4 linked regions of the Tamandua tetradactyla genome follow. The protein of the gene in region 2 purifies or fractionates together with the protein of the main gene of each other region. This does not show direct contact. Links are inferred from orthologs where the notes say so. Each region holds a gene or a part of one and is shown on either strand. Other genes may lie near its edges.

Region 1 (7,679 bases), on a different chromosome or scaffold from region 2:
GACATTTGCATACCAATGTTTATAGCAGGATTTTTTATGATTGCCTAGAGATGGAAATGGCACAAATATCCATCAATAGATGAATGGCTAAACAATCTGTGGTATATACATACAATGGACTATTATGCAGTTGGAAGAGAGAATAAAGTCATAAGCCTGTGTATTAGCTAGGGTTCTCTAGAGAAACAGAATCAACAGGGAACATTCACAGATATAAAATTTATAACAGTGTCTCACATGACTGTGGGAACACAGAGTCCAAAATCTGCAGGGCAGGCTGTGAAGCTGACGATTCCAATGGAGGGTCTGGACGAACTCCACAGGAGAGGCTCGCCAGCTGAAGCAGGAAGAGCCTGTCTCTTCTGAATCCTCCTTAAAAGGCTCCCAGTGATTAGACTGAGCATCACTCATTGCAGAAGACACTCCTCTTGGCTTATTACAAATGGAATCAGCTGTGGATGCAGCCGGTGTGATCATGATTTAATTCTATGAAATGTCCTCATAGCAACAGACAGGCCAGTACTTGCCCAACCAGACAAACAGGTACTACCACCTGGCCAAGTTGACACATGAACCTGACCATGACAACATGTAACAACATGGACTGACCTTGAGGACATTATGCTGAGTGAAATTAACCAGAAAATAAGGACAAATATTGTGTGGTCTCACTCATATAAACATTAATGAGTGAACTTGGAGAATTGAAGTTAAGAACACAGGTTATCAGAAGATAGAAATAGAATAAAGATTGGGCAATTGGTGCTGAAGGAATAAAGATTGTGCAACATGACTAATTGTAAAAAATTCAGAAATGGGTAGCACAATATTATCTGATGGTAGCACAGTAATATAACTACACTGAATGAAGCTGAATGTAAGTATGATAGAGGGAAAAGGGCTGGGGGCACATATGAAAGAAGGAAAGATAGAGGATAAAGACTGAGATGGTATAATTTAGGAATGCCTAGAATGGACAATGATGGTGATTGAATGTACAAATAAAAAAACATTTTTGCATGAGGGAGAACAACTGACTGTCATTATTGCAGGGTGTTGAAAATAGATGGTATATGGGAAAAAGCACAATCAATGCAAGCTAGGATCTATAGTCAACAGTAACATTGCAATTGCTTCCATTGAATGTAACAGAGGCATTTTGCCAAAACTAAATGTCAACAGGCAAGGGGCATCAGGGAGCAGTATGGATTCTTTGTGGAAGAAAAGGAAATGGCTTCATATAGATTATGGTGGCAAAGGCATGACTATATACTTAGGGTGGATTGTATGATGTGTAAATAAAACTGTTTAAAAATGAACAGAGAGAAACAAGTGCCAGAGAAAATGCAGAGAAAGAGATGTACCTATTCACTGTTCGTAGGGAAACCGAGAGGTGCAGCCCCTTGGAGGGCAGTGTGGTGGTGCCACAGGAGGCTAGGGGTGGGGTTGCCATATGACCCTGAAACCCATTGCTCAGTATATACCTGTAGGAAGTGAGTGTGGGGACACGAATGGACATTTGCGCACTGGTGTTTATGGTGGCAGTGTTCCGGATCCACAATGGATGGAGGTGGCCTAAGGCTACAAGGACTGAGGGATGGAAGGGGGAACTATGGTGTAGACATACATTAGACTACTGACCGGCTACAAGAATGAATGAAGTTGTGACTCATCTAGGCATGCAACTAGATGAATGAACTTTAAGGACTGTCTGTTGAATGAAATGTCTGGAACAAAAAGACAAATATCATCATGCCTCCATCATATGGACTAACGATAATATAAAAACTTGGTGAACTAAAGTCAAGAACTTGGTTTATCAGGTCGGGGCCTATTGTAAAGGCTCCTAGATTGTAAGCTCTTACAGCAGTCACATATATGCAGGAGGGGTCACTGTTAGTTCTAGATTCTGTGATACTGAGCTGTTTGTATATAACCTGGTCATTCCCAAGAACTTCAGGTATTTATGTGACACCTGAGACTGTTAGTTAGAACTCTAAAGCTACGAAAGTCAGCAGTACTCCATACCAGAACTGTTTAAAAAGATGAAAAAGTGATCAGATTGTGTAGAGATTTGAATGAAGCTGATCTGGACTAATGTATATCAGAAGACTGGGTAAAGGATGTTATCATCCATATTTTAAAACTTCAACTTCTCTGTGAGACTAAAGGGAGAGATGCTTATTTGGTGCAAAAATTATACTTTGGGTAGCCCATTTCCTACATGGAATCTTGAATAGGGTGTGAGTTTTTTTGGTTTGTCCTGGTTCGTGTGATGTCCCAATATATCACAGAGTAATTTAGGCAGAATAAAGAAGTATTTGTGATGTCCCCTTGGGGGAATAGGGAGAAAGGAGGATATATTCAATCTTCCCAATTTGGAGAATTTCTGATATTCTTGCTAGCAGTGTGGACCACCAAATCTATAGGCCAAACCCTCAATCTTGGGGTTCACCTCTATGAAACTTAATCATGCAAAGGATGGGCTAAGACTACTTAAAATTAAGCCTAAGAGTCACCCCCAGAGAACCTCTTTTGTTGTTCAGATGTGGGCTCTCTCTCTAAGCCAACTCGGCAGGTGAACTCACTGCCCTCCCTTCTATGTGGGATATGACTCAACAGGGGTGTGAACCTCCCTGGCAATGTGGGTCAGAAGTCCAGGGACAAGCTAGAACCCAGCATCAAAGGATTGAGAAAGCCTTCTTGACCAAAAGGGGGAAGAGAGAAATGAGACAAGATAAAGTTTCAGTGGCTGAGAGGTTTCAAATAATCGAGAGGTCATCCTGGAGGTTATTCTTACACATTATATAGATAATCCTTTAGTTTATGGTGTGTTGAAATGGTTGGAGGGAAGTACCCGAAACTGGTGAGCTGTGTTCCAGTAGCCTAGATTCTTGAAGACGATTGTATAAAGATATAATGTTTCCAAAGTGACTGTGTGATTGTGAAAAATTTGTGTCTGATGCTTTTATCCAGGGTGTAGACAGATAAATACGGATAAAAAATAAATAATAGGGGGGTCAAAGGTTAAAATAAATTGGATAGATGGAAATACTAGTGCTCAGTGAGAGGGAGGGGTAAGGGGTATGGTATGTATGACTTTTTTCTTTTTCCTTTTAATTCTTTTCCTGGCGAGATGCAAATGTTCTAAAAAATGATCATGGTGATGAATATACAACTATGTGATGATATTGTGAGCCACTGATTGTCCACCATGTATGGAATATATGTGTATGAATATTTCTCAATTTAAAAAAATACATATATATATATGCAAATATAAAGAATATGACATTTTCTGGGGTATTTAGAAGCTTTAAACCACTACAGGGGGTAATTTGTTATGTAGCAACAGATAATTAATACATAGCTGAAGTCCTTCAACTTACTTTGCTTTCCAGAGATGATAACTATCCTGAATCTGGTGTTTCTATCATTCATTTGGATGTCTTCCTGTTATGACATACTAACTACTATGGCAAACAAATCTTATATATTGATTTTGACTTTTTTTGAAATTTATACTTCCAAATTTTAAGACTACCGTATAATAAAAACTGGGAAATTTTTCTGGGGACTTCCTTGCCTAAGTGACAATGAAATGCAAAAAGACATCTAGTGTAGAAGTAACGATGACTGAAATAATACTTAAATATATCGAGAACTTACTCTGTATCAGGCACTATTCTAAGTATTAAATCTCTACAACAACATATGAGCTATCCAGTTTTATCATCCCTGTTTTTCAAATGAGTAACTGAACCACAGAGAAGTTAAATAACTTGCCAAAGATTATATAGCAAGTAATTACGTAACACCGAAACATCAGCCACTGCCAGTTCTCTTTATATTAGGTAGGAAGAAAAAGGAAGGGAAAAGAACCATTAATATAAATCACAGCTATTAGAGGCCCCCTTTTCTAATGGCTGCCAAGTCTGAGTTGCCTTCTTCTATCACTAATTCCATGTCCCCTTACCCTCAGCTGGGCACGATTCTTTGCTTGGTGGCGTAACCAAAAATTGATTCTCATAGGATATTGGGGTCATGTCTTTATGACCCCAATAAAGTATAGCAACTTTACTGTATGCTATACTTTTCCATTAACCAGATCTTTCTGGCAAAGGAGTACTAAGAGGTGTCCCAGTGAATCCTGGGTTCTAGACACCCCCTCCTTCCTTCATGCAGTAACAGTGCCTGTTCCCCCCCCCCCATAACCACATCAACCACAGAGGCAAGTCCAGTGACCCCCTTCTCTGCCTACTAATTCAGTGGAGCCCCAAACGACCTCAGCTTCCAGTGCCATGGAACCGTCATGATGCTTCCCCCTCTAAGCAATTCTCTCTAAGGCACCAGGGAGACCTAGAACCACTGAGTCCCAGGTCACTGGCCAGGAAAACAAAAATTCTTCCAGCAAATTAGAGGTAGAAGAGGGAGGGGACACTCCTCCCTCCTTTCCTTGGTTCTTGGACCCCTGCCTCCTGGCAGCTGGTTTACGGCATATTCTGCATCTCAACGGCCAGAAATCCCAACCTCACAGGCTGTTCTTTCCCAGCTGGCCCCGTACCTGAGCCTGCAGCAGGCCACACCCTGCTGGCACCAAGGCAGCTGCTTCTAGGTGACGGGGCACACGGTCAGGGTCAGATCAGTGGAATACGTGGACAAGGGCCCGCGGTCAACCTTTCACTGTCACATGTCCCACGGTCACATGTGGGAGGGACATGGGGAGAGGGAAGGCATCATCTAAGTCTGCTGGCAAGTTCTGCAGGCAAGGAAGGCAAGTTCATACCCAGAACCCGGGTCTGGCCCGGTGAGCCGAGGCTCTCTCCACCCACTGGAGTCTCATCACTGCAAACAAGGGAGCATTGTTCCGCCTCTCCGGGTGTGGCCCGCACCTCTCAGCGCCGCCCTCTGCTGGCCTGTTCTAAGACCTGCAGCCACAGGCAGCCTCCCTCCCAATCCCCTCCGCCTGTTGCTCCCTCACTGATTTGGGTGGCTCCTTCTCCTTTTATTTGAGGAGTTTCTGGTGTCTCTTACTTTCACTGAAGATGATGTTTGTGGTTCTGCTTCTCACCCTCCTTGTGTCCTTTGTGGGATTTCTGAGAGGAGGGGAGAAAAGTTGCAACTTTGCTCTGTCCTTTGTAACAGGAATATCATATAATTTAAAGCAGGACAATTCTGAATACTAATAGTGTATTGTGATACTGACTCGGATGTTTTTTGGCATGCTTAAGTGAGTTGTGAAAGTCTGGATTAATGTAATACTGATTAGTGCTTGTATTTATCCAAGGCTTCAAAAATTAAAATCCCGAAAGATTTGGCATTTGGGGTGAGCAGTAATATATCTCCAATTAGAATATTTTCTAAGTAAAATAAGAATATTACTATTAATGACAGTATAACATAATTAATATGTTATTGATTATGTGTTATTTATTAATATCTGCAGTTAAGATATCAGGAGTATTTATAGTATTCCAGGCCCTGAACTAAGTCCTTTAAATGTAATAACTCATTTCACCCTACAATAACCCCATGAGGTAGGCATCATTATGAATTCAAATTTAAAGATGGTGAAGTGAATACTGAGAGGTTACATGGCTTGCACGCGTGGCTTGCACAGCTCATAAGAAACAAAGCTGAAAATCTTCATTCATAACTACTGTTTTGCTATTCTGCTTCTGAAAAAGACAGTAAAATAGAAAGGTTCCATCAAGAGGGGAGAAGAGAAAGAAAGAAGGGGGATCGTATTAGAATAGCTAGAAGGAAAGAACTGTAACTGTGGAACGTAACCCATTAGCCTTGATTCGTGAACACGGCTATATAATTATATCATTTTTACAGTGTGACCATATGATTGTGAAAACCTTGTGGCTGATACTCCTTCCTTATTGTATGAATAAAAAAAATAAGGATAGGGCGGGCCGCGGTGGCTCAGCAGGCAAGAACACTGACAATAAATAATAATGGGGGTGGTAAGGGGCATGGGATTATTTTGGGTGTTCTTTATCATTTTTATTTTTATTTTATTTTACATGTATTTTGGGGGGAATAATGAAAATGTTCAAAAATTGTGGTAATGCTACGCACTAGAGTAACTTTCCAGAAACCTTTAGCCTCCAGATAAGTCCTGAAACCTAGAGTTCCCAGCGTCTCCAGAACCTCAGATAGTTCTATCTTCCTACCCTATATTAGTGACAGACCCTTCCAAGATGAAAAAGTTAGGATGACCATAGCCCAAATACCCCTAAAGAGAGGGATAGAAAGATCAAAGGTGATGATAGACTTATACAGAGAAGGTAGGGTTTAACAAATAAATATGATTGCTGAATCACTAAATTGATATCTCTTTTAGTCTCCAGTATCTTAGAGAAGCTAGAAGTTAAAACTTAAAATTGTAGAATTGTAACCCACGCCAAACTCCGAAATATGTTCTGCAACTAATTGTGGTGGTGTGCTTTGAAATTTATTGCTTTTTTGTATATATGCTATTTTTCACACACAAAAAAAGTCGAATGTGATGAGAAAAAAAGTATTTATGCCTTCTAACCTCCTATATTCTGGAGCAACTAGAAGGAAAAATCTGAGAGGATGATATGGTAGCCCACGACAAACTCTGGGATTGGTTCTGCGACTACTTGTTGAAGAGTGCTTTGAAAACTACTGCTTTTTTCTTTCTTTGCTTTGTATATATGTTACACTATACAGCTAAAAAGTTAGAAGAAAATTGTAATGAATGTACAACCATATGATAATACTGTGAAACACTGATTGTACACTTTGGATGACTGTAGATTATGTGAATAGATATCAATAAAATTGCATTAAGAAAAGAAGAAAGAAGTAGGCTCATGGCCAGTGTTGGTGGCATTGTCACTGGGAACAAAAATTATGCTCCAAATGCCTTACCTGAGAAAACACAAAATTTCAGCCTTAATCTTCCTTCTATGCAGCCTCTAGATCTTTGTACATGCTAGCCACAAGGCGGGCACGATTTTTGATAAGATGCCCCATTTCCTAATGGCCTCTGACAGAGATTTTCAAAACTTTGTTTCACTGACAATTTTGTCCCCACTTTCATGTATTTTCAACCTAATAGATGATATCATCCCTTGAACAGGGTTCGCTACTTTTTGGAATCCAACAGAGAATAACACGTTCTGAATAATAAAACAGGCAGAAACTTAGAAAAAAAAAGTTGGCCAATGATTATAGCTTGTTCCTGTACTTCCAAATGAAGATGCCCTAACTTCTAAGCATATGACATATTCCGCAAGACCGTATTTTTCAGAGGGCCAAAAAGGTCTTTTAAAACAGAGGGCACTATCTGTCCTAAAAAAAAACAAAACAAAAAACCCCACAACTTTCCTTCTCTGCTGTCTTCTTTTATTCTCTTATGCAAACAGTTCTATAATGATTGCATGGTTTGATGGGGAGGGGCAAATTTTAATCGTATTATCCCAAGGCAGATATAAAAATTGTTTAATAAAATAAACACCGCCACACAAAAGTCATTCTAAAACAGGCAGAAAAATCATTTGGTGATAAGTGAATGTTGATTTAAAAAGTCTTGATGTGTGTGCTGCTGGAGAAAGAAAATGGGATATAAAAATAAACAATATTGCATTTTGAAGGACAAATGCTACAGGTATATCTACAGAGGCGATTATGCAAAATAAATA
Region 2 (7,344 bases):
ATCCTACAGACAGCAGCTAAGCAGTTGGTCAAGATGGCTGGCTCCCCTTGTAGTTGTCCTAGTGTCTCATAGCATCCTTTGCAATTGCTTATACCTTGACTTCTCTCTCCAAACACTAAGCTCCTGCCTGGTACTGTGTCATTTGTATCTGTATTCCTTGTATATGGTACAATACTTGGTACATAGTAGGTGCTCAGTATATATTTGTTGGATGCATTGGGACTATGTGTGCGTATATGTTTGTAAATATATTATGTAAATGTATCTACATATACACTTTACTGCCATTCCTGGATCAGCTTTCCATTTAGTATAGCTGTTGGGCCACATCTAGATGAGGGTTTTGTGTTAGTTTCCCACCTGGTATGACGAATACCACACACTTCGTTGGATTAAACAGCAGGAATTTATTGCTTTGGAATAGTTTTGGAGGTTGAAAGTTTGTTTCTGCCTGGGGCCAGTGGTGCTGAAGGGTTGGCAATCCTTGGGGTTCCCTGGTGTTACCATATAGTGCTGTCCTCTTCTTTCTCTTCCAGGTTTCCACTAACTTCTAGCCTGACTCCTCCCCATGGCTTTTTCTTAGAGTCAGCAAATAGGGAACTTATAGAAAGTTCTATTAAGTCTTTTAGTCTGTTCTGCATGGTTTATAGAGGAGGAAACTGATGTCCAGAAAGATCACACAGCTGATTATAATGACAGTGCTGGGGCTAGAAGTAAAATCTGCACATTCTTGCTTCCACTATTTCACTTTGTTGCCAAATTGAAATCTCACCATGAACAAATCACTCACAATTTACAAAATATGTAAAGTCACAATTTCCTAAATAATATTTAACAATCAAATCACGGATTTTCTTAAGTTTATTAACTTGCCAGGCATATCTAATGAAGACTATGTGCCACGCACTGTACTCAAGGTTTTATATTCATTACCTCCTTGAATCTTCTCAACAACCCTATGAGGCAGCTTGTCCAAGATCACACAGCTATTATGTGGTTTAGCTGGTATGGAAACCAGGTCTGTCTGATTTTAAAGCTTGCACTTTTAACTGCTATTTGGTACATCCCCCTTCCAATTGGGTTTTCTTGTTGGTCTATTTGAAAAATTGTCTTAATTTATAATAACCCAAAGCTACTTGTAATTTCTTATATCTTTTGTAAAACACATTAAAAAATGTATCTAAGCATATTTCTTGCTTCTTTCATTATGCTAAATTGTAGTATACAAAAAATACAGAATTAAATGGAAGTGTCATGATAAATGAAGTGCAGGCTGATTCATTAAATTTAGTATTCCTATCAGTTCATGTCATTTCTTTGCTAACAATCCTTCAGTGTCTTCCGTCTCACTGAAGGCAAAAGTCGAAGTCCTTACAAAACAACCTAGAAAACTACTGGCAATCTGAATCTTTTCTACTATCTTTCCTTTCTGATCTCACTTCCTATCACACCCCTCAGGCTTCCACAAGGTTACCCTATATGTTAGGTTTCCCTGATTACCACATTTATAAATGCACCCCACCTCAGCATGCCCTGCCCTTCTCCTGCTTGGTTTTTCCCCTGTAGTACCTGTCATCTCTACTTTATTTACTGACTAACTTTCCCTGAGAGTGAAGGCATATTTATATAGATCACTGATCTGTCAGCAGACCAGCGCCTGTCTTAGCTCAAAAATATTTGCTGAGTGAATTGTGTGACAAAACAACAGCATTGCTTCAACCTTAAAATGTAAATTATCTATCTGGGGTACCTAACTTTGTAATTATCTCTGCTACATCAATTATCCAGGGGTAATTAACTAATCAATCACTTGTTTGCCATTGAGAATTAATTTGTCCCCCTTCAACTGTGCCTTCTTGGTAGTCGGCAGGATTTTAAAAGGGGGTAATTTCAAGTTCCTTATAGGTCCCTCAGAAATATAAAGTAACCTCACTTTTAGTCAACTTTGTAGAATAGGACTGTCATGATGGTATAAAAAATAAAGCAGAATGAGGGTGCACAGCTGGTTCAGTGGTAGAATGCTTGTCTTGCACGCAGGAGACCCAGGTTCAATTCCCAGACCATGCACCCTGCCCCTCCCCCCAAAAAAGAGTAAAGTAAAAAACGACTAGTAAAATCAAGTCATGATTTGTACTTTCAGTGGTAAAATATGTCTATGGTACATTTCTTCCTTTTAAAAAAAAGAACCAGTAAGATGATGGTTCTCTGAGCATTTAGAAAAACTGGTTTCTTTTGAACGCTGTCTAAGGGAGCCTACTGTAATGTACGAAAGAGGATCGGCATGGGGGTGAGATCTCCACTTCCTTGACTGTGGAATGAACAGACTGAAGACGATCAACAGGCCCCATCTGGCTCTAAAAGTCACAAAGCTCTTGGAAACAAGGCCATGGATGGAACTTTCTAATGTGCATCTAAAGATAGAGTTCATGTTCATTCTTTTTATTTTTTGAATTATTATTTTTGGCTTTTTTCCCTAAGACTTTTTATTGATCATCACAATCGACTTTTTTCTTTTTCTGTAAAAAATAATATATATACAAAAAACAATACATTTCAAAGCACATCGCAACATATTTCATGTTTGTTCTTACAACTGATTTAATGTACCCCAAACAACTGTTGTAAATCTATCTATTTTGATAATATATCTAGTTTTGGGGCTTATTTTTTTCAGCTAAATTGAAATTGTTTTCATATCACTAATACCTAAAAATGTAACTATTACCTAAGGATCTAAGGATAGTTACACATTTAAAAGACTTAGTTGTATTCAACCCTGATTCTCTAACGGACTAATTATCTAATTTGTGAATGTGTAAGCTTCCTGTAGCTCTTTCAATTTTTGATCAAGGGCAAAGAAAGCGTTCAAATTCCAGTTTTGTCACTTGTTTATAAATTTCAAGGATATATAACCAAAGGCTAAAACCTGTTTGGTTCTGTTTTGGATATTATTCCGATCAATTCAAGTCAACTTGAACCAAGAATTATCAGCATTGTACATAGTTCGCTAATTTCAACTTAAATCATTACATAAATGTTGGTATTTTATCTTTACACATGCCTGCATGGCAAGGTACATGCTTCCTAAAAACTATCAAAAAGGAACTTTAAAAATAAAATGTATTAATCATCAAATCAGACTAGTCTATGAGAGAAAGTTAACCACAGATTTCTACACTTCCAAATTTCAAATTAATATTGGGGCATTATTGTACCAAACAGATCTCCTGGGTAAACTGATCTCCTTAGAGAGTACAGTGGCTGGTCACTGTACAGACTCTCCCGGGTTATCACAAATCTATTTCCTTGTAACCCCTACCTAAAACTTCGAGACCATACCAGTCCTTTCATTTACTAAAGAGAAAACATAAACTTCTAAAAATACAACAAAAATTACCGATTTCCTTTCCAGCGTGACTATTTTTTTTTTTTTTTACAAAATCATATTTTTCACCAGTTTCTATAGTTTCAGCATGATTTGATTAAGAAGTTTCATAGGAGTAGGAACAGAATCAAAGTGCATGACTGCTCTCCCCCTCATTGTTAGCTGCTGGGACTGCAGACCGCTCCTAAATTTGACAGAATAAACATTATAGAAGAGCCGTCTTTTTGGTAGGTAAAGAAAACTCACAAATGCAATTCTGAGATCTATCTATTTGGCTACTAAAACATGAGAACAGTTGCCATGAAGGCCTGTAAAGTTTATTTGGCAGCGTGGAATACAGGATCCCAAGCCCTGCAACAGAGGTTGTGGAAAAGACAAAAGAAAGGGCTTCTGCCCTCACCCTTCCGGCACTTAAAATCCAACTCCCCAGGCAGGACTCGGTAAAATTAAACAAAAAAATTAAGCGGAAAAATACACCTCACGCACATAATCAAAGCTAATTTGTGAGGTACAAATCAAACTTGAAATAAAATGTGGAGGAGTTTTAATTTGATAGAGGACAAATATCTAAGAATGCAAATCTAAGATGGAAGAAAAGGTGGAGAGTTCGAGTGAAATTAAAGACATATGGATAAAAGCAGCGTCCAGATCGGACTGACAGAGCAAAAGTAGTACTAAGGCACTGGAAGGGCCGGTAGGCTTCGGCTTAACCGAGAGACGGTCGACCTTCCTCCATTTGCTCGGTCCGTGAGGAACGGCGCCGCGCGGCCTGCGCCGCTCTCCGAGTCTGGGACGCGGCGTGGGGGCGGGGAAGTAAGTACGGTAAAGAGGATGAAGGGGAGCGCGCGCGCGCCGCGACTTTGCTGCTGCGCAGCACTACCGTAAGGCTGGGGGGCGGGGCGACTATATTACGTGCGCGGCGCCGCCCTGCGAGAGGACGTTGCGTGCTCGCTCGCGCCAGGCGAGTCTCCGCGTCTCCCTCGCGAACTCGGTGAAAGGAATTGGCGCCGTTCGACACCAGGCGGGTCCGCTCTGCAGCACGAACCCACCTCCAGCCGCAGCCGCAGCCGCCGCCCGGGCCGAGGAGCAGCCGCACTAGCCGCCACCAGTGGCCGTGTGAGCGGAGCCGAGTTTGAACCAGCGCCTAGCGGTGAATCGGGGCCCTCACGATGAGTTCCTCGCCTGTTAATGTAAAAAAGCTGAAGGTGTCGGAGCTGAAAGAGGAGCTCAAGAAGCGGCGCCTTTCTGACAAGGGCCTCAAGGCCGATCTCATGGAGCGACTCCAGGCCGCGCTGGACGACGAGGAGGCCGGAGGCCGCCCCGCCATGGAGCCCGGGAACGGCAGCCTAGACCTGGGCGGGGATTCCGCCGGGCGCTCGGGAGCAGGCCTCGAGCAGGAGGCCGCGACCGCCGGCGATGAAGAGGAGGAGGAAGAAGAGGAGGAGGAAGGGATCGCGGCCCTGGATGGCGACCAGATGGAGCTAGGGGAGGAGAACGGGGCCGCGGGGGCGGCCGACTCGGGCCCGATGGAGGAGGAGGAGGCTGCCTCGGAAGACGAGAACGGCGACGATCAGGGCTTCCAGGAAGGAGAAGATGAGCTCGGAGACGAGGAGGAAGGCGCGGGAGACGAGAACGGGCACGGGGAGCAGCAGCCTCAACCGCCCGCGACGCCGCAGCAACAGCCCCAACAGCAGCGCGGGGCCGCCAAGGAGGCCGCGGGGAAGAGCAGCGGCCCCACCTCGCTGTTCGCGGTGACGGTGGCGCCGCCCGGGGCCAGGCAGGGCCAACAGCAGGCGGGAGGTAAGAAGAAGGCGGAAGGCGGCGGAGGCGGCGGTCGCCCCGGGGCTCCGGCGGCGGGTGAGTGCTGCGTTGTACGTTGCGCGCGGCGGGAGGCCCGCGCGGGGTGGGACCGTGCCCCAGGCCTGCCGGAGCCCCGCCGCGGGGAGGGAACCCTGGGCTGGGGCCGCCGCGGGGGTTGGGCGAGGGGGGCGGGTGCGGAGCCTTTTCCGTGTGCCTATCCAGGTGGGGAAGGGGGGTTGCGGGTAATTCTGGGTTCGTAATGAGGCCTCGGGGTCGGTGTGTGTGACGGCGGCGGTGGCGCCTCCATTATGTGACTCAAGAGCCAGGGGGAGCTGCAGCTGCCGCTGGAGGGGGAGGAGCCACGGCGGGCGGCGGGAGGAAGCCCTGTGGGCCAGCGGGGGCCCCGCCGCGCTGCGTGTGCGCGGTGCGGGCACATGCCTGGGGGGGGAGGGGAGAGGCTCGAGGTCCCGGGGCGGGGGGTGCCTCAGCGGCTCTTGGGCGCTGTATTGTGCAAGGAGCGCAGGGTCGAGGCGTGACGTCACTTCCGTCGTGAGGCGCCGGGCGGGGAGCCTGGGCGGAAGATCAGTACAATGCGGCGGCGGGGCGCGCGGGCTGGTGGGGGAGGGGCGGGCTGGGCCGCGCGGCGGAGGCTCGCCCCTCCCCCCTTCCTGAACACTGTCGGTGCACGTGGGTCCAGGATTTGCGCCCGACTATTTTTCTTTCGTTTTCTCGGATCATCGCGTACACGGCAAAATTAGTTACGTCTTTGGACTGCGTCACTAACTGGTTGAATTCTGTGCTTTGATTTCGCGTTTGATTCGTCGATTGAAAGCTCTTTACGGAATAAAGGATGAAGACAAGGTCTTGCGCCTCAAACTAGGAAAGGATTTTTTTGGTCACTCTTTGGCGGCTTGGCTTCTTATAAGGCTGTTGTGTATTGTAGGAGACGGCAAAACAGAGCAGAAAGGCGGAGACAAAAAGAGAGGTGTTAAAAGACCTCGAGAAGATCATGGCCGCGGATATTTTGAGTACATTGAAGAAAACAAGTATAGCAGGTAGAGGATGGTAACCTAGTTTTTTTTAATCATCTATTCTTTGTTGGTTGACGGGAAAAGCCATATCAGGAGACAATTCTTTCTTTCAGAGCCAAATCTCCTCAGCCGCCTGTCGAAGAAGAAGATGAACACTTCGATGACACAGTGGTTTGTCTTGATACTTGTAAGTGAAGCCATTTCTTCCCTTCCTCCAGCTCCAAATGCTGTGGTTTGGTTCTACAGTGTTACAGACGTAATGCTGTACGTCCAACCTAAGTTCAGAAAACAGTAAAAGTAGGAGATTATGGTGTGTATTCATTCTTATAGCTTAATATTTAAGTACAGCATCAGTTGTATTGGTAATTTCACATGCTCTAGCGATTTTATAATTTATATGACTTGAAAGCTCTTATGCTTAGGAATGTAAAATTAATGGCAATTTTTTACTAATTACCTAATGGAAATTTGTGAAGTACCCATAACTTATACTAAGGCTTCTACAGTAAAGTAATTACGCTTTTTTTGTAGAATTATAATGTGAGCTATTTGGGCTAGTTAAATATTTGCTAATGACCTTTCCCATTAGCACACAAGTTTATTCCCTATTCTAACGAAAGATTGTAATACTATTTTTTCAATAACTGCTGTTTTGTTCTCAATTCCAGTTCAGTAGCTGCTGCTTTAACATAAGTTGATTTCTTCCAAAGACCTGGGGCAGCAGCAGTGGGCTTTCACTGGGCCACTAGCTTTCTTCAGCAGCGAATGGTATCAATGGCAGCACTGTAAATTCTGCTACTTTACCCAGTTGGGTTGCAATTGAGTATGAGGAAGTATTGCAAACCTATAAATGAGCCATGGCTGTCAGATTTATAATTTTACTATAAGTAATTACGTTGGTTTGGTATTTGATAAAAATGAAGTTATTCATTGTAATAAGTAGAGCAGAGGGTAGAAATGATTGAAGTACAAGTAGATAGGTGTCACATCGCCCAGTAGATTTAAGCAGTGGAAGCTTAAATTTCCATGAATTAGAAGTTGTATTTATTCAGATTTGTAACAGTGTAAACATTAAATTTTTTATTTCTTACCGTATACCATTTATAGGTAGTTGAGATAGTCTATGGG
Region 3 (7,939 bases), on a different chromosome or scaffold from region 2:
CACAGGGTAGGAATTCATTTTCCTATAAAAATGCTATAGTGAAAAATTATTTGAAAGCTGCAAAGCAATTCCAAAAGAACTGACAGACTAGTTTTAAGCATATTCAGGTTCCACCCAACTGAAAATCACTTTTAAGACCATAACAAGATTGTTTTCGTTCTTTTTTGAAATACATTATAAAAAAAGATATATGAACCAGTCCTCAATTACGTAGAAAATTGTTTTTAAAGTCAATTAAGACTTATGAAAAACTTACTTTTCATCCTTTTCTACATCATGACACACATCCACAATCTGAAGAATATTGTGGTTTGCACTCAGTTCTAGTGCACCAATGTTTATATGGATATAGTCTTTTAGGAAATCTTCAGCAAGCTGTCTTACTTCTTTTGGCCAAGTCGCACTCCACATTAGGGTTTGCCTATCAGGCTTAACAAATGTGGGTTAAAAAAATTAGTATCGTAACTTTTTCAAAAAGTTAAATTTGAAATGATAACATATTTAACAACACTTATAATGATATAGCTTTTCAAATGACTATGTGATTGTGAAAACCTTTGATGTTCCTTTTATCTACAGTATGAACAAATGAGTAAAAAACGTATGAAAAAATAAATAGGGGGGAACAAATGTTAAAATGAATAGATAGAAATGTCAATGAGAGGGAGGAGTAAGAGGTATGGTATGTGAGTTTTTTCTTTTTCTGGAGTGATGCAAATGTTCTAAAGAAATTATCATGGTGATGAATACACAACTATGTGATGATACTGTGAGCCACTGATTTGTACACCAAGTATGAAATGTTCGTTATGTTAAAAATGTTTGTTTTTATATGTTCTTAGGTGAATTAAAAAAAAAAACACTTACTCTTATCTGATCCACTATCTTCCTTATTTGGGGTTCGAAGCCCATATCAAGCATCCTATCTGCTTCATCAAGGACAAGGTAGGTGGTTCTTCTCAGATTGGTTTTCCCACATTCTAAAAAGTCGATCAGTCTTCCAGGTGTTGCAATACAGATTTCCACACCTTCAGTGAAACATAAAATGTAACCACCAAACACGTAACTTTTAGCACCAGTAACAACAAGCTTTTCTATTACATACCTCTCTCCAAATCACGTATTTGTGGTCCCTTGGGAGCACCGCCATAGATGCAAGTAGACTTTAAGCGACACGCTCTACAGTATTCAGCAGCTACTTGCTGCACTTGTTGGGCCAGTTCTCGAGTTGGTGCCAGCACCAAGCACTAAGGAAAGAAACAGCTTTCAGCATAAGACCTAGATCCCTAGTCTTAAACTGCTAATTTATAAGCCTTACACTAGCAGACATGATTTCTTTCTTCCAAATGTGCAATTTCCCAAAATGTGACAATTGTGAGATTACTATTCTCTCTACATATAAAACCACAGAAATTATCCTATCTTTGCAACTCAGTTACATTTCTAACCAAATTAATGGACTATATACTTACAATAGGCCCATCACCTCTCTCCAGGAATGGCTGATGATTGATGTGGACAATGGCAGGAAGCAAATACTATGTGGGAGGAGGATGAAGAAAAACAGTTACATTTAAATATTCTTTGTTCCCCCTTTTATTCTGAATCCACTTTATCTAGCATATTTTAGAGAACACTCCAAAGTGTTCCCAAACTTACAGACAGTGTTTTCCCAGATCCAGTCTGTGCTACTCCAACCATATCCAATCCACTTAGAGCAACTGGCCATCCCTGAGCTTGAATAGCAGTGGGCTCAGTAAAGTTCTGTCTTGCAATCACATCCATGACATTTGCTGTAACCAAAGGTAGCAAATTTAGTAAAAATGTTACACCAAGAGAAAGTAAAGATGACAAATTCAAAACTAACACTTACCAGGGAAGTTTGCTTCATAAAAGTTCAGAACTGGTTTTGGGCAGTTGTGACCTCTGACTGTAACTTCCTTGCTTCTTCTGTATGCCTCTACCTCTTGCTGAAAGACACGTAATTAGTGTACTCGAGTAAGACTCAGCATAACCTCTCCCCTAAATATATAACTGTAAGCCCCTAAATTTATAAACTACTTTTAGTGGCCTTGATTTTCAACCTAGATCCACATGAAAACCTACAAAGCACAAGAATACATATTTTATCAAATAACCATTCTAACTAGAAAATTCAAAGCAACCTGTTCCCAGAAATGGTTCACACCTCTTTCCTAAGCTGGAAGCCAGAAAGTATGAATCTCCCTAGATTTGCAAGACACTTGTGTCAGATTCTGACTTATTGTAAGTCAGAATTATATCCTAATAACGAAGCCAAATGAAATCACTCACCGCTGTGCGCCTAGCCAAATCAGGGTGTTCTTGATAAAAATTCTTCTCAAATTTTGGCAGCTCATCAAGATTCCACTTCTTTTTAACTAGTTTCTCCCCAGGGTTTCCAAACTTTTTTCCAGATAGGGGCCCTGCCCTACTTCCTCCAAATCGAGGCGCACCAAACCTGAAAAGAAAAAGTTTGTAATCAAACATTTGTATTTTTATGCAAGTTTACCATTCCATGGCACACACTAAGGATTATTCAACTTTATTCAAAGCACCTGTGTGTCATACAAAACCCATTACTGCCCTTAATGATAGTCACTCAACAGTCAGTTAGTTAACCCTAAATCTTATTTCTTGTCGTCCCCTGTACACCTCATTAAAGCCAGGAACAGTAAGCAAACCATAATTTATGAATAAAATCGGAAATTGGATGCTCAAATTCCACAAATACAGATTACTAAGATAGCAATCTAGGATAGACAACAGCTTGTGGTTAAAATCTTTCCCACAACCTTAAAAACGAAATCTCCATTTCGGAGATAAACGATAGAAGAGGAGCCTTATTTCTACAGCTGTTTCCAAGCAAACGGGCTTTGGCTTTAAGAATGGATGACGCAACAGCATCGAGAGCAGAACAAGGGGCTCCGGGACATAGCAAACAAACGGAGTTGGGGGGCATCCCGCGGAAGAGCTCTCAATCAAGGTAAGAAAATTACATAACCCAAGAATAAGGAGAAGGAGGAGCCGGCAACTACCGGGGGAGGAGCCCGGCCCGGGCGGAGTCGGCCAGGCGGCGTTCCCGCTGGGGCGGCGCTTCCCCCTTTGTCTCGCATTTCTCTCTGCGCCACATTTTCTCGACGCTGCCATTTTGAGCTCCTCCGCCGGGCGGGGTAACAAAGGCGCCGCCGCCATGTCCGAGGCCGGCATTTTGTACCAGCGGCACAGCCACATGGCTGAATCCAGCAGCGCCGGCCACCCTCCTGTCGCCACCGCCTCGATGGCTTCGGAAACGGCCCCCTCGCTCCCACTGAATTTCCGGATCCCCTCAAACACCTCCCGAATTGTTGAACTAATGACGGCGGATACTTAGTCCGCCTCAAAGCGTCGCGCTTTCCTCCCTTCACAACACAGTCCCCCGAATGCTCATGACAGGCGGAAAATGGCGGAGGTCCGGGAGCCCCCTCCTCCCCTCAAAAAGTGGACCTGAGAACTGTTGACACGCAAATCCCTCATAATCAGATTTGGGTAAATGTCAAAAGGTGCGCAAAGTTAGGAGTGGGGCGGCCCAAAGTTACGCTAGGCAGGGCAAGGTTCCACCCCGCATACCTTGGCCGCTACCCTCCTTGTCCTCCCTTCCCCCACCCGCGGGCCTGACAGGTCGGTCCCACACTCACCCTCGATCCCGGCCGCGGTCTCGGTCACTCGAATAACCCGACATGGCGTCAATGGTTGCGGTTGGTGGGGAACGAACTGGAGAGAATCGGGTGTGGGGAATCGCTGGGGTAGGCTTCCGCGACGGCGAAGCCTTGCGGGGGCGGCGGCGGCAGAGAGAAGTCGATGACAAGACCCAGAGCTGCACAACAAACACCGGGGGAAATGAATGAGGTACCGGCCGCCTCCCGGCAGCCGGTTTTATAGTCTGGACCGCCTCCGCCACCGCAAAGGACACTGGGAACCGCTCTGTGACCTAGTCGCCCCGCCCCCTGCGCAGAGGCCGCAACGCCCGCGGCGTTCCGGAATCCGCCATATTCTCACCCTTCCCCTTCCACTCCCCCCTCCCCCCCACTCCGGGATCCCTTCCTTGTAGCCGCCGGTTTTTTCGTTCCTTTCACGTCCGGGCCCACCAAACGCTGGGGGTCCGCATCCTACACTCTCTTGAGTTCCCCTTTTTCTCGTCTTTACATATCTTAAGCAATCCACCCCACCCTTTTTCAGGTCCAGCCTAGAGATAAGGCGGCCAGGTCAGGCCAATCCGCTCTCCCCACTTGTAGATGTTTACGTCCCCAGAGAGCCTCCACGCCCTTAACCAATGGACGGAAAGGCGGAGTCTGATATTGTCACGTGGCTGCTCCCCGCCCACCGGCTGAGCCGACGGCACTACTTTCCAACGGGCGTCAGCGGAGGGATACAAAACGAACTACTTCCGGAAATGCCGTTCTAATTCCCCAGGGCACCGGCCAAGACCCGTGGGCGATCTGGCCTGTCGGTTCCACTCACTTAAGAATCCCTCAACTGGACCTCGCTGACGGAGAGTGGAATCTAGATCCTGCAAACCGCCGCCTAGGCTCGTGATGCGAAAGGAAGTGCTCCTCTAATGACCAATCAGCGGCGAGAAGCCGTTCTAACGTCCCTCCCTCATTCACCTCTTCTTTTCCGCACTTTCCTTTCGTTCTCCCTCCCTCGATATCTGTGTGTGCGCTGTGTGACCCTCTCAGGACACTGTCCCCGCGCACTTGGCTGCAAGTCCTGCGACTCCCTTCCTCCGCGACATGGCTGGCTCGGAGGCTGGTGAGTCTCGGCCAGGACTTTTGCTTTATGTGGACTGAAGCCACCCAACTACCCGAACGCCCTGTCCATTTTATCTGGAGGGCAGGGGCCGGGGTGAATCTTGGTCTGGGCTGAAAAGCGGAGCTCCTGACTGTTAGACACCCCCTGGCAGTCCGCGGTCCTTTGAATAGGGTCTCCTAGACTAGTTCCGTCACCGTTTAGAGTAGCGGTCTGAGGTGGAGGAGGGCATGGTCTGTGGCGAGGCCGGTAACACACCCGTATCCAGGTTACGAAAGAGCAGTCAGAAAGGATCTTCCCCGAATCTGTATTTCTCTTGAGTGTCTTTTCACTGCCAGTGTGCTTTGCGCTCTTGCATTGTGGAGACTAAGGCATTTGAATTGAACTTTGGAGGAATAGCACTCTTAAGTGCTGTTGATGCCCCGCCAAAGCTAGAATAATGTTTTGTTTTTTCTCTTCACTGCCCTCTGGAGAGAGTTAACGGCTTTGTCTAGCATCGGCTTCTGAAACGCATATTGCTTTGGTTGTTTAGGACGCGTTCATCCTTTTCTCCAGGACAGCGTACAAACCACTCCCAATAATGCGCGTTTGTTTCCAGAACATGCTAGAGATATATCTAATGAGGAGTAAAAGTGCTTTCCAGTTAATCGCCTGTCATTTCAGGCAACAAGAGTTTCAAGCCTTCTAAGTGGTCGAGAAACACTTGAGCTATTTTATTAATGCCAGCAGTATCTGGGAGGAGCGGTACAGCATGCAGGGAGCTACAGTATTGGTAATGTGCTGGTTCGAGGTTAGGTCGTGGATACAGGAATGTTCTTATGTATTGCCCATATTTTCTTTCGGATACGTTAAATCTGATAACCCAAAGCAGTAGTGGTGGTGTTATCATTACTCCAATCTTTAACAGTCTAAATTAATCACTACTATTTGGGCACCGGAGAAATCCTGACTTGCGCAAAATAATTGAGCCAAAAACACGTCCAGAACTGTTGGGAATTTGAAGGCACATCCATTAATTACTTTCGTTAACAGACCGTCTTGTTTTTGCCGTATCCCGTTTACTTGTTAATGTGTGTTAACTTAAACACCTATTATAAAATAAAATCCACTGATAAATAACCTAAGGTCTTAGGTTGCAGCAGCGAAAGTTGTGTTTGCATCGTAGTGTTGATTACATTGAAATTACAGCTCTCTGGAAGCCATCATAAGAAATTGCTTTTCAAAAGTCTCGTCTAGTAGGGTCTTTGAAGTTCTTTAACAAATTTCATGTCTTCTAAGGAATTCAGTGTTTGTATTGCTGGGGATTTGTTAGGTTTTTTTTTAATGTATGTGTATTTGACTTTTTCTAGTACTCGAGGCTGATCTTTTCCTTTCCTTTCCCAACAGAGTGGATAACTATTGCAAATAATCTCCTTTCAAAATGTCATATACATCTGAGGATACATGAACTTGAAGATTGTGATGCCGAAGTTTTTATTGCTCTTTATCAATCAATCTTGGGAGAAAGGGTACCAGGTAAGGGTACTAAAAAGCAGGAGTAATTGTGTCTATATCTTCAACTAGAAGTTTCTCATCCCTTTAATTAGATCCTTTGTTTAAAACCTTGTATTTTCTCTTTAGCTACATCTTATTTCTATCTAAATATTGCATTTATCACCTTAATAAATACCTTATGGGACCCACCCATAATAACAACCTTGATTAAATCAGTTGGTTCTCAGTAATCACTCGTTAATCAAATTTCGCCTAATGCCATATGAAAGTCATACCCTTTCTGCAGATGTACCTTCAAAGATTCTAAAATTGAGTAGAGCTCAGAAATTTGTTGGGTCTTTTTACTTAAACATTATTAGAGATGAAAATTGTTGTTTGTACTTTATTAACCTACTTTACCAAGGAGACCGTTAATAAATTCATATGTCCTATCATCTTGTAAGTTGTGACTTGCTCATTTCTTTCGGGGTACCATGTGATTTTTGCTGTATCCCAGGTTGAATATCTCATAGTTTATCCATAGATTCCTCAACTACCTCTGTCTCTTTATGTAGTTTATAACCATTAAGTACTATAAGATCTGAAGTCTCTCTTTCCCATTGTTACAATGAACCAGTACCCTTACTCAGTTCCTGAATTGATGTAATAGCCTGTAGTGGGTGCCTTTGATACTAGTCTCATCCAATTGAGACTCTCTAATTATGTTTGGCATATAGTTATTAGATCAATCTTTTAAAATAATTTATCCTGCCCCAAAACATAGATCTTCTTTTTTCCAGAGGAGAAAATCCAAACTTAACTTGATAGTAAAACCTTTCCATGCTCTTGAGCTGACTTTTTAAACCTTTGTTCCGTAATTCTCGATAGGCTGCTATAGCAGGACATGTAAGAGTCCTTCATTCATACTACTGTTTTTTTTTTTTTTCCTAGTGGTACCCTGGGAAAGTAGCCCACAGTTACAGGTTAAAGTCTCGCCTCATGTCTTACCTTTTTTCTTCCTTTAATAGAATATGAGCATCTCCTTGAATTTAGGAACCCCTCTATCTTCCATTAGCATGGTGCTTGTTGTACGGTATGTATGTATGTATGTATGTATGTCAGTTGAATAGATGAAGATTCTCCTGTGTGGTAATCAGGCTGTGACTTTATCTGGATTTTATACAGTTCTTCTCTTTGGGCACAACCTACTTTTATAGCAGTTGGGTTTATTAAGAAATCTAGTCAGAGATGAATAGATAAAAATTCGGACCCTCATGGAAGCAAAATTATGTCACTTTTTTCCAGATGTCATAGCTATTCCCAAGAGTCAAGAGGATGATGCGCATAATGTGCAAGCAGTGATTGATTCACTGGCCTTGGATTACCTGCAGGTCAGCTTATCTCACATAACAGGTTGGTATATACTAACCATCAGATGATTATGCATTTCATTAAAATAATTTGTTTGATAGGCCCCTAGACATTGTTTACTGAACCAAATGAATAAGCATATGGAATACGCTAAACAGCACCACTGAACTAAGTCAAATGGTATCATTCAGTCAACCATACATGTGAGATTTTATAGGACAGTGAGATACTGAATTTATAATGAAGCTGCATCTGAAATGTAGGTATCCTAGCTGGTAGTTTGAGGTGT
Region 4 (7,055 bases), on a different chromosome or scaffold from region 2:
CATACAACTTTCACTGTGCCCCTTTTTTGTACAACCTGCAACCCCACTTCAACTGCTCAAAATCACTTCTTTTCTCAGCAAACATACATCTGTTGGAGTAATTTCCAATTGTAAATTCTGAAACCCACATCCTAACAGTAATCACTGCTCCCATAAAAATATTTGAGAAATTTACCAACTGTGTTCTAGTAAGGATTACAATCTCCAGGCAAATACAGGCACATTTCTAACATCTTTTCCATGCTACCACTGCCCCAGCTCATTGTAGTGAGCTAATTACTCAGGAGAAGTTTGTTATGACATTTGCATACATACATTGCAGGCACTTTCACATGCTTTTCAAATTGTAAAAATAAAAACAGTGGAAAATGAAAATTAACTAATTTGCTGTTTTCTCCAAAGGTACCATTTTCTAAATTAAAGATAAAACCAACACTGGCATCTACCAGAGTTCGCTACCAATATTTTTATATAACTAGGGAAAATAATTCAAAGATAAACCACTGAAAATGGGAAGGTAATAAATTTTAAAATAAGACTTCTATAACCAATTTATTCCATTCACATTAAAACAGTCATAATTTTAGTTTCTTAGTTTTATTTATATACAAATAACTAGCATAGTTTCCTTAGTCAGGTAGATGTCTTGGAAGATCAAGGAAGATCACTTAGTCCAACTGGAAAAAAAAAAAAAACATGAAATAAATTACAAAATACTTTAAATTCCTAACATCTTCTCACAAACACTGACATACAGAAACAAGACCCACCCAGCCTAGCTTACCAAAAGCTAAATGTTCAAATATTTACTGAATGCCTCCTAGAAGATGCTCCACAAACCTCAACATTTACATCTTAGACTGTTAATTTTTAGTACTGACATTCTTTCTTCAAAGAAACATTCCAAATCAGAACACTACTGCATAAAATGATCCTTATCAAAAGTTCAAAATGGTTACTAACTAGATAACTATATTTACACAGCTAATATATTTGGCACTCAATGTATGCCAGACACTATATTGTATAAGTTTCACAAATGTCAAAGTTCATTCTCTCATCTATGATATCCTGCCTCTTCCCACTGAGTTATACTTGAACTGCCATATAGTAAAACCAAATATATACAGGGTATTTGGTCGACGTTAAAAGCTTAAGCTTAAAAGATACTCTGTCTCTTCTGGACTATCTCTTATTCACAAGTTTACACCCACTATAATACATCAACACAAACATGTTATTTTCTCAACTATGATCCAGAAAATTCGTGATTGCAGTTCAAAGAGCAAAGAAGGATTTAACTTGCACTTCAGGTGGCTGACTCTGCGCTGCAGAATTCTGACAAGGTCTACCTGGTCCCAGATCTCGAGCTCATTCCAGTAAACGGCGCTATCTAAAATTTCTGGTCAGTAACTAACGAATATACTTGGCTGCAAAACGTCTAGGTACTCCTAAGGCCAATTAATTACTTAACGTGGTGGACACTAGATAATTTTATCCAACAGAGGACACGGCACCCAAGTGGCAGAGGGATAAAAGAAGGCTAGAGGGACTCTTGTTAAGCCTCCAGCCTCTTAACTCCACTGGTCTGGCTGCCGAATGGGAGAACAGCTACCAGACCCTCCAACAGTGTCACCCGCTACAAAGGAAGGCGCCCACTACATAAAAGAGAAGGACGGGCGGTCACCGAGGGAACTAGTAACTGTGCCACGTCTCAGCGTCAGGACGGCCCGGGGTCTGCGGACACGCACCTTGATGAAGCCGATATCCTTGGCGTACTGACGGAAACACTGGCGGCACATATTGAGGCCGTACTTCCGGATCAGACCATGCCGGTTTGAGCAGACGCGGCTGCAACACAAGAAATGGTGTCAGTGCAGGTCTCGAAAACTCGAGGGTTCACCGTTCGGAAGGACAGCCCCCACCCGCCCGGCCTCCGGGCCTCACAGGCCTGTAATGGCGGCGACCGCGCGGCGACTCCGGCCTCTCCACGCGCTGCCCGCGGGCTTAGTCACATTAAATTTCAGGAGCCTCGCGACCCAGACAACCCTTCTCCAGACTCTATGCTGTTTCTCACCAAGAGCGGGAACCCTGGCCGAATTTTCGTGGATGGCTCCAATAGAGCTGCTGATGACCCATCTTGCTATCAGGGCGGCAACGAGGGAAAGGAGAGAGGCAGCGTGCGCATGCGCTCTTCAAGCTTTGGGGGACAGGGTTTACCCATGATGCATTGCTGGCTGGCGCGTGCGCCCTGTGACAACGCTGTCCGGGTAAGAGCAGATCTCGGGGACGTTCTGGAGCCCAGCGACCGGTGACGTCAGCGCACGTTAGCTTCTAGTTCGCCCTGGCCCCGGCCGCGAGCGCCGGGCGTGGTGGCGCGCGCCTGTAGTCCCAGCTACTCGGGAGGCTGAGGCAGGAGGATCGCTTGAGCCCAGGAGTTCTGGGCTGCAGTGCGCTATGCCGATCGGGTGTCCGCACTAAGTTCGGCATCAATATGGTGACCTCCCGGGAGCGGGGGACCACCAGGTTGCCTAAGGAGGGGTGAACCGGCCCAGGTCGGAAACGGAGCAGGTCAAAACTCCCGTGCTGATCAGTAGTGGGACCGCGCCTGTGAATAGCCACTGCACTCCAGCCTGGGCAACATAGCGAGACCCCGTCTTTTTGGCGCCCTCGGGACAGGACCCTTGACCCTCCAAGGCGTCCTCACCTTCTCGGGGGACGCCGGTGCAGTGTTTTAGTGCGAATTCTGTATCTGGAACCCCCCCGTCACATTCTTTCAGTTCGAATTCTACATTTGGAAGAATGCCTTTGCCTCAACTCCGCACTGGCACCTACCGGGGTAAACTTAAAAAACAACCTAAAATCAGCTGTAATAATTGGGAGTCAACGCTAGGAGTTTCTGTTTCGTTAAACAGAAAACCTTTTCAAAAAAAAGATTTTAATGGGCACATTCCTCCAAAAAGATGCACTTAGCCGCTACAGTCCAGAAAGGTGATGCGAGGCTCTTTGACCCTTAGCGTGTTCGATAGTTAAATTGAATTGAAAGTGAGAATCAAATCTGCGATGCTACTTTAACCAGATGACTTCTTAACAAAGCAATAATGAAAAGTAAAGGCCATCTGATTACTCTGCTGAGAGATGCCTGAACTCCACGTGGGCATTCATAATGTCTGCAAATAAAGCTGACTGCGTTTTACACGGCTAGTTTAAACACAGATTATGATATCAAAGCTGTAATTGGACCTGTAAAATGTTGCAGTGTGCAAGAATCCAAGAAGCTTGCTGGATTCAGAACTGAAGTAGAGTATTTCTGGAAGTATGTCATTTCCAAGACACGCTAGTCATTAAGTTAGGCACTGTGTTATATTATGAAGGGGGGAATTTAGAGATTAAGGGGGACTCAGAGTCAAAAGGGAGATTTCATCGTTGCCCTCAAATTAGCAAATCTAGTGAGGAAAACAGGATTATCTCAAAGAGCCCTTCCTTCCAATTTCGACGTTTGTGACTCAATATCATGCATATAACTAAGCAGAATATTTTGGATGTACTTATAAAGTACAAAAAGAGCAAAAGGGCCTTAGATAACAGGGCCCTGAAGAATGGGATATTTACAAGTCATCTTTTAATGAAAGCAAATACCCAGTGAAAGGAAGAGCCTTGAGCCAAAGAATTGAGTTGGAAAAGGCTTGGCAAAGGCAAACAACCTTGCATAATCCGTATGAAGGATGCACAAAAGGAGGCCTAGTGATAAATAAGGCTGAACACATACCTTATATTATTGCCGGATTTTGCCAAAGTCCAATGTCAGGCTTCTCCAGCATTACATGGAATGCATATCAAAATCAATGAAGTGTAGTTTCCAAAATCCTCTACCTCTAAAAGGATAATCTCACATTTACCCCTCTGTAGCTTTCTCATGCAAGTCTTTCCTGATTGGTGTCCTTCTCCATAACTTTTAAATAATTCCCCTAGTTCTGCAATTGATTCCATAAATATTGTCAATACTCTGTGATATAATCCTTTGGGCCTAGAGAAGTGAACTCATTAAAAAAAAAAAAAAAGACAAACCAAAGCACCTAGTTACTTGATATCAAGTAGTTTTTAATGTTTACTCTGGCCTAAAAGTTATTCTTCTTGATAGAGATACTGCAAACTGCAATTGAGAACTCATATTTCCTTTTAGTTTTCAGGTAAAGTGGCACCATCTACCCCAAACAATGGGATTATCAATTTCTTTTTCAATAAGAGCCAAGAACACAGCTTTAAAAGTCCCTTTTAACAAACCCAGGGTTTATAAAGAGTTTTGAGCTTAATCTTGTACTCTTCTTATAGGTTCCTAGTGCTCAGCCATTTGACTTTTAAATCTCTCCTTCTTTTTGAACACATCTCCCCCATAATATAATATTTACTGAGTTTGGTTCCTTTTTTTTTTTAATATGGTGATGTACAAAGAGAAACTGCAAAAATCTCCTTGCCCAAACAACCCCAATTGATATTTTGTTTTCAAAAAAATCAAATACATTTATAAGATTAAAACATTCCAACAGTACACAGCATAGATTTTATTTTTGTATTTAAGCCATTGGTATGATCTGCATGTTAAGACACTATTATTCAAAATTTTTCCTTCAAACTATTTTTAAAATTATTTTTGATGATGCTTCCAGAATTTTTATCACTTGAAGACCTGCATCTCTCTGGAATTACCTTCAATTTTAGAATCTTTGGGAATAAAAACATGCTTTCACACTAAACTATTTTTTAACATGACTGTTCATAGCATCTTTATTTGCAACGGCCAAAAACTGGTAATAACCAAAATGACCCTCAAAAAACGAATGGCTGTACTGTTGGCAGCACACCCATTCCACGGGGTGATACTCAGTCATTAAATTTAAGGAACAAACTACTAATATATGCAACTACTTGGATGGATGGAAAGGACGTTGTGCTGAGTGAAAGTGCCAATTTCAAAATTCATGTACTGTATGGTTTTATTTATTTAACATTCTCAAATTGACAAAATTATGGAAACGGAGAGCAGATAACTGATTGCCAGGCATTAGGGATGGTGGCTGGAGGAGTTGGGGGCTAAGTTTAACTACAAAAGAGCAGCACAAGGGAAGTCATTGTGGGGAAGGAATAGTTCCATATGTTAACTGGTGTGGCTATCTACACACGTGATAAAACGGCACAGAACTCTGCACACACGCACACTGTCCCAATGTCAAATTCTTGGTTTTGAGGTTGTCCTAGAATTATGTAAGATGTAACCATTGGAGAAAACTGAGTATAGGTCACATGGGACCCCTGTATTACCTTCGCAACTTAATGTGAAATCTATAAATATTACAAAATAAAAAGTTAAAAATGATAACTATTGGATATGATATGCAATAAAGGGCTAACAAAGTGACTTGAATAAAATAAGTCAGCTACCTCCATAATCTCTATCTTTTAGTTTGGAGAAGGAGAAAAAAGCTACTTTTAAAACTGGTTTTTTTGCTGTGGATGGACCTAATGTGTGTGAAGACTTCCCAATAAAAATATTTTAAGAAAACCAGGTTTTGAAAACACCAGGTTTTAAGAAAACCTTGTTAATGTTCACAATCTTCCAGTTGAGAAATTACTACTGACACAATTTAAAAGTAGATTAGATTCCTTGCAGGCTGGAAATAGCCCGTCTCTTTAGTTCTCAGCTGTTCTTAGTCAATAGATTACTGTGATTCCATTTTTAACCATCATTTTGAAAATCTTTGCCTAATTTATAAAGAAATGAGTTCTGTTCAAAATAGAGAAAAATTGCAACTAAAAGCACCAGTTTAATAGGAATGCACAAGGAGTGTGACATAACTTAAAGGAATACAATGTAAAAGTTGTAACAATATTTATTAACTGAATAAATCTCCCCTGAGCGGAATAACATTAGTGATGTGGGTGAGCTTGGTAACATTTCTGCATTTTTTTGGTGCTTGAAGATAGCTTATCATCCAATGACAATGCTGTTTTCCTCATAAAATCAATAATTTGCATTGCCTAACTTACAAAATACATTTTTATTTCCAAAAAAAGTGACTTCCTTATGTGAAGTCACTAAAAAGTTAAAATATTTAAAATGCACCTAGATTTGACTATATGCTGTCTTTATTCAATGATTAATTCCATAGCTAATTGTGACTAAATTTAATTACATATAAATTTAATTCTAAGAAGTACCTCTCATCAATACTTAATAAGCTAGCTTTCCTTTTTTACATAGAAACATTTACAATTGCAACAAAATGGAAGCAAAAGTGAAACAGAAGCCACTGAAAATTAATAAAACATAACTCTTCAACAAAGGTTAAATAGTCCTGTGTGTTTACTGGCGATATCTCAATACCAGTAAAAATAACACAAATATATACATCCCTCAACCAGCCAGTATTTTAATAATCCACAAAATCAACAAATATGTAGAAAGTGCTTTTACTCTATTACCACCTAAAATAACGCATCATACAGTTTCCACGAATGTGTTCGTTGACTTCTAACCTTTGCCCTTTAGAATTCCCTTTGTTGTAGCCAGAACATGCTCCTTTTTAATGATTCCACATTAATTCCTCCAAAGCATTTTTCCTGGACTCTGCTAATCGATGAACAAACAGTAAACAATTCAGATGTACCAGTAAGTTGCCACGATTGTCCAGATGATGCTGAGGTTTCTGTCCCTTGAAGACGCACTTTAGGAAGCGGTAGGGTGCTTTTCGCTTTATCGGCCTCATCCGGAGAGAAAATGGTCCTGAGCCCCACCCTCTCCCTCAGGCATCAGCACAGTTTGTGCCCGCTGCGCCACCAGAACTTCCCGGCCTCCAGATGTATTCATTTGCTAATGCTGCCGGAAAGCACTATACCAGAAATGGAACAGTTTTTAAAAAGGGAATTTAATAAATTACTAGTTCATAGTTCTAAGGTCATAAATACGTCCTAACTAAGGCATCCAGAGAAAGATACCTTGGCTCAAGGAAGGCAGATCAGGAAAGACACGTGGATGGCATCTGCTGGTCGCTAGTTCC

The links.
Region 1: the proteins of HNRNPU (region 2) and KPNA2 purify together in Homo sapiens (affinity purification with mass spectrometry; 3 studies listed by BioGRID and IntAct, with this or other methods). This does not show direct contact. The link is inferred for Tamandua tetradactyla from reciprocal best matches to the Homo sapiens genes HNRNPU and KPNA2.
Region 3: the proteins of HNRNPU (region 2) and DDX5 purify together in Homo sapiens (affinity purification with mass spectrometry; 3 studies listed by BioGRID and IntAct, with this or other methods). This does not show direct contact. The link is inferred for Tamandua tetradactyla from reciprocal best matches to the Homo sapiens genes HNRNPU and DDX5.
Region 4: the proteins of HNRNPU (region 2) and RPS29 fractionate together in Homo sapiens (co-fractionation; 3 studies listed by BioGRID and IntAct, with this or other methods). This does not show direct contact. The link is inferred for Tamandua tetradactyla from reciprocal best matches to the Homo sapiens genes HNRNPU and RPS29.

Annotation. Positions count from the first base shown.
Region 1 is NC_135332.1:6,063,711-6,071,389, reverse strand, and holds the start of KPNA2 (importin subunit alpha-1), read left to right. Parts: upstream 1-4,666; 5' UTR 4,667-4,774; intron 4,775-7,679.
Region 2 is NC_135333.1:16,458,666-16,466,009, reverse strand, and holds the start of HNRNPU (heterogeneous nuclear ribonucleoprotein U), read left to right. Parts: upstream 1-4,326; 5' UTR 4,327-4,554; coding exon 4,555-5,242; intron 5,243-6,128; coding exon 6,129-6,240; intron 6,241-6,329; coding exon 6,330-6,403; intron 6,404-7,344. UniProt on the Homo sapiens protein: DNA- and RNA-binding protein involved in several cellular processes such as nuclear chromatin organization, telomere-length regulation, transcription, mRNA alternative splicing and stability, Xist-mediated transcriptional silencing and mitotic cell progression.
Region 3 is NC_135332.1:5,711,956-5,719,894, forward strand, and holds the start of DDX5 (putative ATP-dependent RNA helicase DDX5), read right to left. Parts: upstream 3,005-7,939; 5' UTR 2,981-3,004; coding exon 2,814-2,980; intron 2,480-2,813; coding exon 2,314-2,479; intron 1,971-2,313; coding exon 1,874-1,970; intron 1,794-1,873; coding exon 1,660-1,793; intron 1,539-1,659; coding exon 1,473-1,538; intron 1,248-1,472; coding exon 1,106-1,247; intron 1,029-1,105; coding exon 868-1,028; intron 430-867; coding exon 257-429; intron 1-256. Other genes in the region: CEP95 (centrosomal protein of 95 kDa), read left to right, coding at 4,791-4,809, 6,193-6,321, 7,585-7,692. UniProt on the Homo sapiens protein: Involved in the alternative regulation of pre-mRNA splicing; its RNA helicase activity is necessary for increasing tau exon 10 inclusion and occurs in a RBM4-dependent manner. Binds to the tau pre-mRNA in the stem-loop region downstream of exon 10.
Region 4 is NC_135340.1:3,111,280-3,118,334, reverse strand, and holds RPS29 (small ribosomal subunit protein uS14), read right to left. Parts: upstream 2,214-7,055; 5' UTR 2,140-2,213; coding exon 2,078-2,139; intron 1,852-2,077; coding exon 1,752-1,851; intron 678-1,751; coding exon 669-677; 3' UTR 522-668; downstream 1-521. UniProt on the Homo sapiens protein: Component of the small ribosomal subunit. The ribosome is a large ribonucleoprotein complex responsible for the synthesis of proteins in the cell.